Linked DNA regions of Xenopus tropicalis. The protein of the gene in region 1 interacts with the protein of each later gene in a pairwise test. Links are inferred from orthologs where the notes say so. Each region holds a gene or a part of one and is shown on either strand. Other genes may lie near its edges. The genes, in order: ybx1 and c1qbp.

What was found.
Region 2: the proteins of ybx1 (region 1) and c1qbp interact in binary tests that used the Homo sapiens proteins (3 or more experiments, as listed by UniProt). The link is inferred for Xenopus tropicalis from reciprocal best matches to the Homo sapiens genes YBX1 and C1QBP.

Annotation. Positions count from the first base shown.
Region 1 is NC_030683.2:94,733,830-94,738,230, forward strand, and holds the start of ybx1 (nuclease-sensitive element-binding protein 1), read right to left. Parts: upstream 2,975-4,401; 5' UTR 2,820-2,974; coding exon 2,720-2,819; intron 1,467-2,719; coding exon 1,403-1,466; intron 585-1,402; coding exon 551-584; intron 234-550; coding exon 144-233; intron 1-143. UniProt on the Homo sapiens protein: DNA- and RNA-binding protein involved in various processes, such as translational repression, RNA stabilization, mRNA splicing, DNA repair and transcription regulation.
Region 2 is NC_030678.2:105,097,979-105,102,272, reverse strand, and holds the start of c1qbp (complement component 1 Q subcomponent-binding protein, mitochondrial), read left to right. Parts: upstream 1-1,226; 5' UTR 1,227-1,351; coding exon 1,352-1,562; intron 1,563-2,461; coding exon 2,462-2,612; intron 2,613-3,991; coding exon 3,992-4,079; intron 4,080-4,294.

The DNA.
Region 1 (4,401 bases):
CAATGATTTAATATGATCAAGTGGCAGTATAAAATATTATGCTATTTCTGGTATAGGTTATATAGTTCAGAAATGTTGAAGACTAAAAATATACACTTGTAGCTTGTGTAAAACGTATCCTCGTACCCTTTTGATAGTCTTACCTTTTCACCCTCCACTACATCAAACTCAACAGTTTCACCATCTCCCACACTGCGAAGGTACTTCCTAGGGTTATTCTTCTTGATGGCAGTCTAAAAAAAATATATTTTTTTTTTTAAATAAAAAGACATTAAAAGAAATCTGAACAAATGCTGAAAACTGATTAAATCTGCTTTTGCTCTATCTAGTTCCATGGCAATATAAAAAGGTGTAGGAAAATGTCCTATCCAACTGTGGAACAGTCATGACTTTCTATTCAGTATGCATTCTTTTATTACACCAAGGCAATCCGCTTTGATCAACACTATACTCAAATACAAGTTACCATATTAGAAGTTATAGAATACATTTTCTATACTAGATTGGACTAGACATCTGTAAAAAAAACCCAGATAAGTGGAATACTTACTTGGTGTACAAACACATCTTCCTTGGTGTCATTCCTATAAGGATAAAAACAAAATGTTAACGACAAAAGGTAGAAATTTTCACAGCACAACAAAGCTAAACAAAACAAAAATAGATTAAAGGCTTGTACTGTGCAAATTAATTTATATGTATAGGTCAAACACTAAAGGCAACATAAGCACAAAAATAGGAATAATGCTGGAAAGGCATTTTTTCTACCAACCACAAAGCATTGCCTTTAGACAAAGAATGGGCAAATGAAAATATATTTCAACCAGCATCCTTTTTTTCTCCATAAAGCCCACATCATATAGCTCATTTCTGACATTTTAGGAAAGAAGCCATCTTATATAATTGTTTTTAACAAACCGATTTATTTGGTTTATGTGAAAAAAGTACATTTCCTTTCAAAAAGCAGAAAAATCTTAAGATACAGTCGAAAGGATAAGGGAAAGCTGAATTAAAGCATGCCAGCCCTGGCTACTGGGTGCAATTACTGTTTTTGTTGTGTATCTGAATTTCTACAACAGCGACAGGCAAAGATCATTTTCTTGGCACAGGCATTCATAGAAGTACAGCGCTGAAACCGGTAGGCAGTGCTACTTAGGAAGCAAGCAATACAGCAGCTCCCCATCTCTATAAAAACATTTTTAAACTATGCCTTCCCCAAGTGTTAAGTAATTTAAGTAACTTCTGGTATTGCTTAACCGCATATCCTGGAATATATACTTGCTAAACCATATTAAAACAAGCATTTATGGGAAGTACCACGTGCATGGCCCCGAAGGGTCAGGCAGGCTGTAACAAGTTTACCAAATTACTAATCTAAGTTGGGGCAGAAATATGAACTCACCTGTTAATGAAGCCGTAACCATTGCGCACATTAAACCATTTGACCGTACCCAAAACCTTGGTTGCTGAAAGAAAATAAAAAATCGTTAGTTTGGAGTGAGGCACAAGATCAATCTAATATGCACAATAGAGCAATCACTTTCTGGCAGCACAGTAGCACCATAAACACAGGGGGTGGGTGGTGGTTTGGAAAGCTAACTTTTACAAAAAAAAATAATTAGAAATTATAAATACTAGTTACATGCAACTTATTGATCAGCAGCCAGTGAGATACAAGCCAAAGCAATACATAAACACTGCTAGTTTAATGGCTATCTGGACATACAACTTCAATGGCTACTGGGCCAGGCACAGCTATACAGTAATTACATTGAGTAGGATGGATGGGGGTGGATGGGGGAAGAGGAACAAAAACAAAGCCCTATCCCATGGCCCTGGTAGCAACATTTCCTGAGGGAAAGTAATGCAACTGGTTGTGTGCATTCCCACTCACTGCTATATAAACACACGGAATTACAATTAAAGGCATCAGCAAACAAACATTGCTATTTGGGGCCATAAGAGTGTTGTCAATTCTTTTTTTCAAATGAAAAACTACAACTCCCAGAATCCCCGTTTATTGCCAAGCGCTATAAAGGCTGCTACTAAGCAAGCCGAGTGCAAAGATAGACTAAAATGGCTCTCATGCCCCTCCCGCTCAGGCCCAGGCGGTACGAGCAGCTCCGTGCCACAACTACTCACACACCACGTGGCTGGAGCCGGGCCAGAGCCGCAACCCGAGCAGCCGGGACACACGGAGCCGCCAATTCCCAGCGCCATCACGGCCCTCACACTCCCCCGTATGTTTGCAAAGCAAACGTGAGGCCAGAGGCGCTACTGGGGACCCAGCAAAGGCGCGGCGGCATACAAAAGAGGAGGTGGGGGGGGTGTAGGCCGCAGGCGGCGGCGGACATGTTACAGGCCCTATTCCTCTCAGGACACAGGAAGGGATGATGTCACGGCGCTGCGGGGGGGGGGGTGATGTCACGGCGCCGGGGGGGGCAGAGATCCGTCACCAACAACTCCGCGTGGCACGACACTCCACGTCGGTGTAACCGCCACTCACCCGCGCCCTATAGTAAAAGCGAAAACCGCTCCCTCACACTATAAATAAACAGATAACCGCGCCTGTTTGTGCAAATATCTAGTAATCGCCTTAACCAACGTGACTGCACAGGGGATGCTGGGAGTAGTAGTCATATTGAGCCTGACGCGCCAAATACCCAGCCCTGCCTGTGTCCGAGAGGCATCTCTCGTATGCTAATTCAATCGTACTTACCGATGACCTTCTTCTCCCCCACGGTGGCCGCCGGTTCCTGGCCGGCCTTGCCCTCCAATGCGACTGTCTGCTGCTGTTGTGTTTCAACCTCGCTGCTCATTGTGTCTTTGATGGTGTAAGTTGGCTGCTTTCGGAGGTGGTGACTCGGGCCGGCGGTTGGCTCGCTTTAACTTCCCCCCGGGGTGTTGATGGTAACTCAGGCCGGCGGTGGGGCTGCTGCCTTTCGAGCTCCCTGCTGTCCGCTCTCCGCTCCCGCTACCGATCGAACTGCCTGGCAATGGCCTTACAGACGGGTTAATCATCGCAGACATCCCGCCCTGGCTATTATCCTATTGGTCAATTGGCTTGTCAGTCTACGGGTTTAGTAAAAAACTCTGCAGTTGTATGGTCGAATGGCTTGTCAATCAAGAATCGACGCGCTCTGTTTGGATGTGTTCCTTCTGTAATCTTATTGGCTAAGGCAGATGTCAATAACAGGATTGGAGGGATTAGTCTCTGCCTCTAGCGTCTGCATTATTGGATGGGATGTAGCTGTTGAGCTCTAAGGCTGATATAAACAGTGATCAATAAAGTGTAAGGTGTGGGGGGTAGGATAAATGCAATAAACTATTGGGCAGGTACCTCAATATTTGACTTGTGTTTAGTTCAGCTGTTTCCCGGCACATCAGCCCTTATGAGCTGAAGGTAATGATACCAGATCACTCATATAAGGGGTTGTGCTTAGGCAACGGACTCTGTCTATTGTTATGGCGCTGAGTCCAAATCCAAGGTTTTATGGAAGTATGGCGTATTGCTTATTTCCTAATCCTCGGATTGTCTAACGGGCAGGCCCCCCCGACCTCATGTCTTGATTTCTGTTTGTTTCTTCGCAATGGTGTAATTTCTGCCTTATTGCTTATATTTTCCCAAATACATTACACAGCAGAGTATATTAGTGTTTTATAAATGGGCTTTAATAATAGCGGGAATAGTCACATCAGCAGTACACTTGCACAGCCTAACTTGCAGTATGCTCCATAGCTGCAATAACAGCATGCACATCGCAAATACTAATATAAATGTGATAGTTTAAGACACATTAAAATCTATCTCATATAATTTTAATAAAACTCCACAAAAGCAAATGAGAATTAAATAATATGAATTAGTCTTTCTGACTGGTTAGGTCAGATCAATAATGATGTATGAGCTGACAATTCATGGTTCAACACTGACTGATTACTGGTCTATTAAAGGAACAGTAACACCAAAAAATGAAAGTGTTTTAAAGTAATTGAAATATAATGTACTGTGGCCCTGCGCTGGTAAAACTGGGGTGTTTGCTTCAGAAACACTACTATAGTTTATATAAATAAGCTTCTGTGTAGCCATGGGGGCAGCCATTCAAGCTGGAGAAAAGGCACAGGCACATAGCCGATAACAGATAAGACACCATTGTATTCTACAGGATTTATCTGTTAGCTGCTATATAACCTGTGCCTTTTCTTCTTTTGAATGGCTGCCCCCATGGCTACACACCAGGGTTTATATAAACTCTAGTAATGTTTCTGAAGCAAACACACAACTTTTACCAGTGCAGGGCAGCAGTACATTATAGTTTAATTTCTTTGAAATATATACATTTTTTGGTGTTACTGTTCCTTTAATGGGCCGAGACAACCTCCGCAGCAAGGCACCAACTG
Region 2 (4,294 bases), on another chromosome or scaffold:
CTATTGGCTATTTGGTAGCCCCATGTGGACTGAAAGCCTGCAGGAGCCTTTGGTTGGAGTAAAACTTTAAGGCCACTGGGAGCAACATCAAAGGGGTCGGTGAGCAACATGTTGCTTACGAGCCACAGGTTGCAGATCACTGCACTAAGGTGGGCAATATTGGGCTAATTCTATCATTATATATCATTAAATTACAATGAAAAGACTAGAAGTCGTCAGAGCAAGGGCCACAGTGACAAGCCAATGTGGTCTTCAATCCCACAGTAAATTTAAACCAGCCCGATTTCACTGGCACATAAGGCCCCCCCTAAACCAGAGGGCCCACTTTTATGTTATCTTATCAATTTTTAAAAAAAAAAAAGTAATTTTAGTTTGAAAAATGACATTATTATTATTAACATTTATTTATAAAGCGCCAACATATTCCGCAGCGCTGTACAATAAGTGGGTTTTATACAGTGGAGATACAAAGTAAAATATGAAGCAATCAATAACTGATACAACAGGTGAAGAGGGCCCTGCCCAAAAGAGCTTACAATCTACAAATACATGGTGCTGTTCCAATATTTTGCTAAAGTGTCCGTAAAGTGTAGTAAGAGGAATGTACACTGGCTTTACAACCAGGAGCCATATTAGGATATATACCTCAAAGGCAGCTGCTTACAGACGGGAGCTGTTTGTTTGTTCAGGTAGAAGGAGAGCTTTGAACAAACAACCATGTTTAGAAGAAAAGAGCGGCTTATTTGAGTAAAAATAACCCAAATTTCAAAGTCATACTTTATAACTGCAAAAAATAAGATTTTTATTTTTTTTTAAACTGAAACAATATGCAGAATGCCATTTCAGCTCGAGTCCTATTTATTGTATTTATTTTCAGCCAAGGTGTTTTCAGGTGTACACAGTGGGGCAGAATATGCACGCCAACATCAGCAGTGATGTTGCCCCTAGCAACCAATCAGAGCTTTGCTTTTGTTCTCTAACTACTACTTTAGCTACTGATTGGTTGCTACAGGGTAACATCTCCGGTAATGTTGGCTTACACAAAACTATAATAAATATGACCCTTCAGAAGTACAAGCATTGTGTTTCTCCAAGCTGCCAGTCTATGTGACCAGTAAACCACTGGATTCTAATTTCTCATTTCAAGCGTTACAATACAACGTCTATATACAACAAAGGTTTCTCTTCCGAACGTATTCCTTACAGACAGAAGCAATCAACAGCGACCTCTGCGTGTAGCCAAGGAGACCTTGACGACACTTCCTGTGCTCCGCCTCCTTTTCGGGAGGTGAAAGGTCAGGGGTGTCACGGTGTCCTCTTGTCACACACACACGTGGGTATCTGCAGGACCATGTTCTCCACACTGTCCCGAGCTCTCTTATCCGCCACACGGGTAGCGGCCGTACGGCCCCAACAGCTGCTGAGCTCTTTGTGCACCGGACGATCCTTCTCACGCTCATTATGTTTGCTCGGGGGGAATCCGGGGCTCAGGCAGACTTTCCTGCATCCTCAACGTGGCTTCCCGGCCGTGTCCTGTGGCTGTGGGGGACTGCACACTGAGGGTAAGTGCTCTCCTGGCCCTTACATTAGTGCGCTATGTAAGGCAGGGTTTTGGTACCATTCCACAACTAAACTGTGAGCTCTTCGGGACATGGATGTACATTTTTTGTCTGTTCTTCGCGTCTGCCTCCCAGACATTTGTATGCCTACATCCACATACTGAAAATGCTTGTTTTTCTTAATGCTTGTTTCGATATCAGATTATAATATAAATGTTTTTTAAATCATTTTATTTCATGAATATGAGATTCATTATATATGAAAAATAACCTTTCTGTAAATTGTTTTGAATCAAGTAATTCTTCACTAGAGCTTTCTCAAGTATGCAGGCTTTGTGTCATATTTTGGACATATTTTTTACATTGTCGGGTCAGTGTTTCCTTTGCCTAGATGGTATTTTACATTAAATTATCCTAAAATACTATGGGACCAGATAAAGCAGGAATATGCACATTACAAATATTTTATTGTGTCATTGTTGAGATGTGAAATGATTTATTAGTGTAATTCCTGAATGATGTTGCATGTGTGACTTTCAGAGTTGTAAGTCATCCCCAATGGAACCAAAACTGTTTTATATACTACCTTAGTGCTCATTCCAAACAAGATACTGCAAACAGTATAACATGAATAAAAATGTAAGATATAGACATATAAGTTATCGGCAAGTACAATATATTCACTTTATTACAAAAAAAAATTACATTTGCAGGATACGTTTGCTATGTCCCGTTTTCTCAAAGAAAATAAAGACTTAATTCTTAAAAGTAGTATAGAATGTGTAATAGGTGTGCATGATCAAGTTGTTTCTTTAGAAGTCTGAAAGCTGATGCACAGTTTTGAAAAATAAGCTTCAAATCCCCCCTAAAATGTGTTGATTTATTTTTTATATTTATTGTAGGTGACAAGGCATTTGCTGAATTTCTCAAAGATGAAATCAAAGAAGAGAGAAAGATCCAGAAACATAAGAACCTTCCCAAAATGTCTGGTGGGTGGGAATTAGACATCAATGGCACAGAGGCTAAACTGGTCAGAAAAATATCAGGTGAAAAGTAAGTGTACTAATGATGGTTGCCTATATCCTAGCATATAGTTAAATGATATGATGAATCTGCCACTTGAGATAAAAATTATATTGTCCTCTTAAGTAAGCCTTATTTTTTTAATCCCCTAAAATTACTCTAAACAGCCCCCAGAATAACACACGTTTTAACCATGAAAATTGATTTTGTTTTTGTATTACAAGCAGCTGCATCTCCTTTACTGACTTGCTTGTCTAATGTGAAGCTCTGCCCTGTTTAGCTTTCTAAGCTCTCCTCTCTTCCACTATGAAGACCTTAAAGAGGTGCTTACTGGGCATGCTCACTGCCTCTGCACACAATAAAATCAATCAGGCATGAGGTCATAGTCGGAGAGAGGAGTGCTCCGAAAGCAAAAAGGGGAGGGGGCTTCCCCCTAGACAAGGAGGTCATTAAAAATGCTGTAGTTGAACTGACTGTAATAGGGAAACTAAAATTTGGATGAGAGAAAGGTATGTTGTTCTGGGGGCTGTACAGAGTTTTAAAAAAAAAAACCTACTTATTTTGACTTGTTCTTTTACTGACCCAATTCATCTTCCTGGGTTGATGTAGAGGCATTTTGTTAAGAAACATATTCTTGCTTCAGTGATTAAACATTGGACCTCAGATATAAGTGCAGTAGAATACGATTGTAATGTATTCACATTAAGCACAAAACCAGAATAATCTGCTATACATGCTCATGTATAGTCCACTAATATTTTAAGACAAGACAAGGAATTCAGGGGAAACATTATCATAATACCTGATTTATGATTCTTAATTTTACCTTTGCAATAGGCAGTAACAAATGAGAATGAAAATTAAATTGGAAGGAAAAGGCATAATCACTGAGGGGTGTCAAAATATAAGTGATTATTGGTGCAAGTTGACTATATTCCTGGATGGCCAAGTTGCTCCTATTCCTTCTTGGTTTACATTGCATTGTGGGGATGAGGTGATGTTCTCGTAGGCAAGATGTTAACATTTGTCCTCCAGCCTATCAGAACATTGTCCCTTCCCCAAGTGTGCTGTCACTCATGAAGATGTTTAACTTCAAGCCATGCAAGTTAGTAAGGGATGAGCTGGAGGAGGCAGGTGGGCACATACATTACAAAAGAATAACAGCACTAGGGTTTATATATTCCTGTTAAAACCTGGAATGTGCCTCTATCCCATTAAGACTTATTTTCTGGGAGTCTGAAAATATATTAAGTGTAGTGACAGCTTATAGATTACCAGCTAACCATTTAATGGCCAAATACATCAATATAATCAGCATGGTGGGTAGACTGGTGAAATCCTATGTAAACATATTGAAGTAGCATCAGTTATAATTACTTAAGCTTGGAAAATATATTTTGTCTTATTAGGATTGCAGTTACTTTCAACACAAACAATAGCATTCCACCAAGTTTTAATGAGGAGCCACAAGAAGGTCAGAAAGCTGAGGAGAATGAGGTAAAGTTGAACTTTTCTAAATTTTTTGAACTTCAAATTATATATAATATTATGCAGGTGTGCCCCCTGCTATTTTCTACAAAAGTTGATTAGGCGCATAGGCCAAGGATATTTTTAAGTTGGAGCCTGGTGCTATTTTTTACTGTATCAGCAAAAAAAATCTCTGATCAGTATAATATGTTTTAGATCAAATTCAATGGCAACTTCAGTTTTTT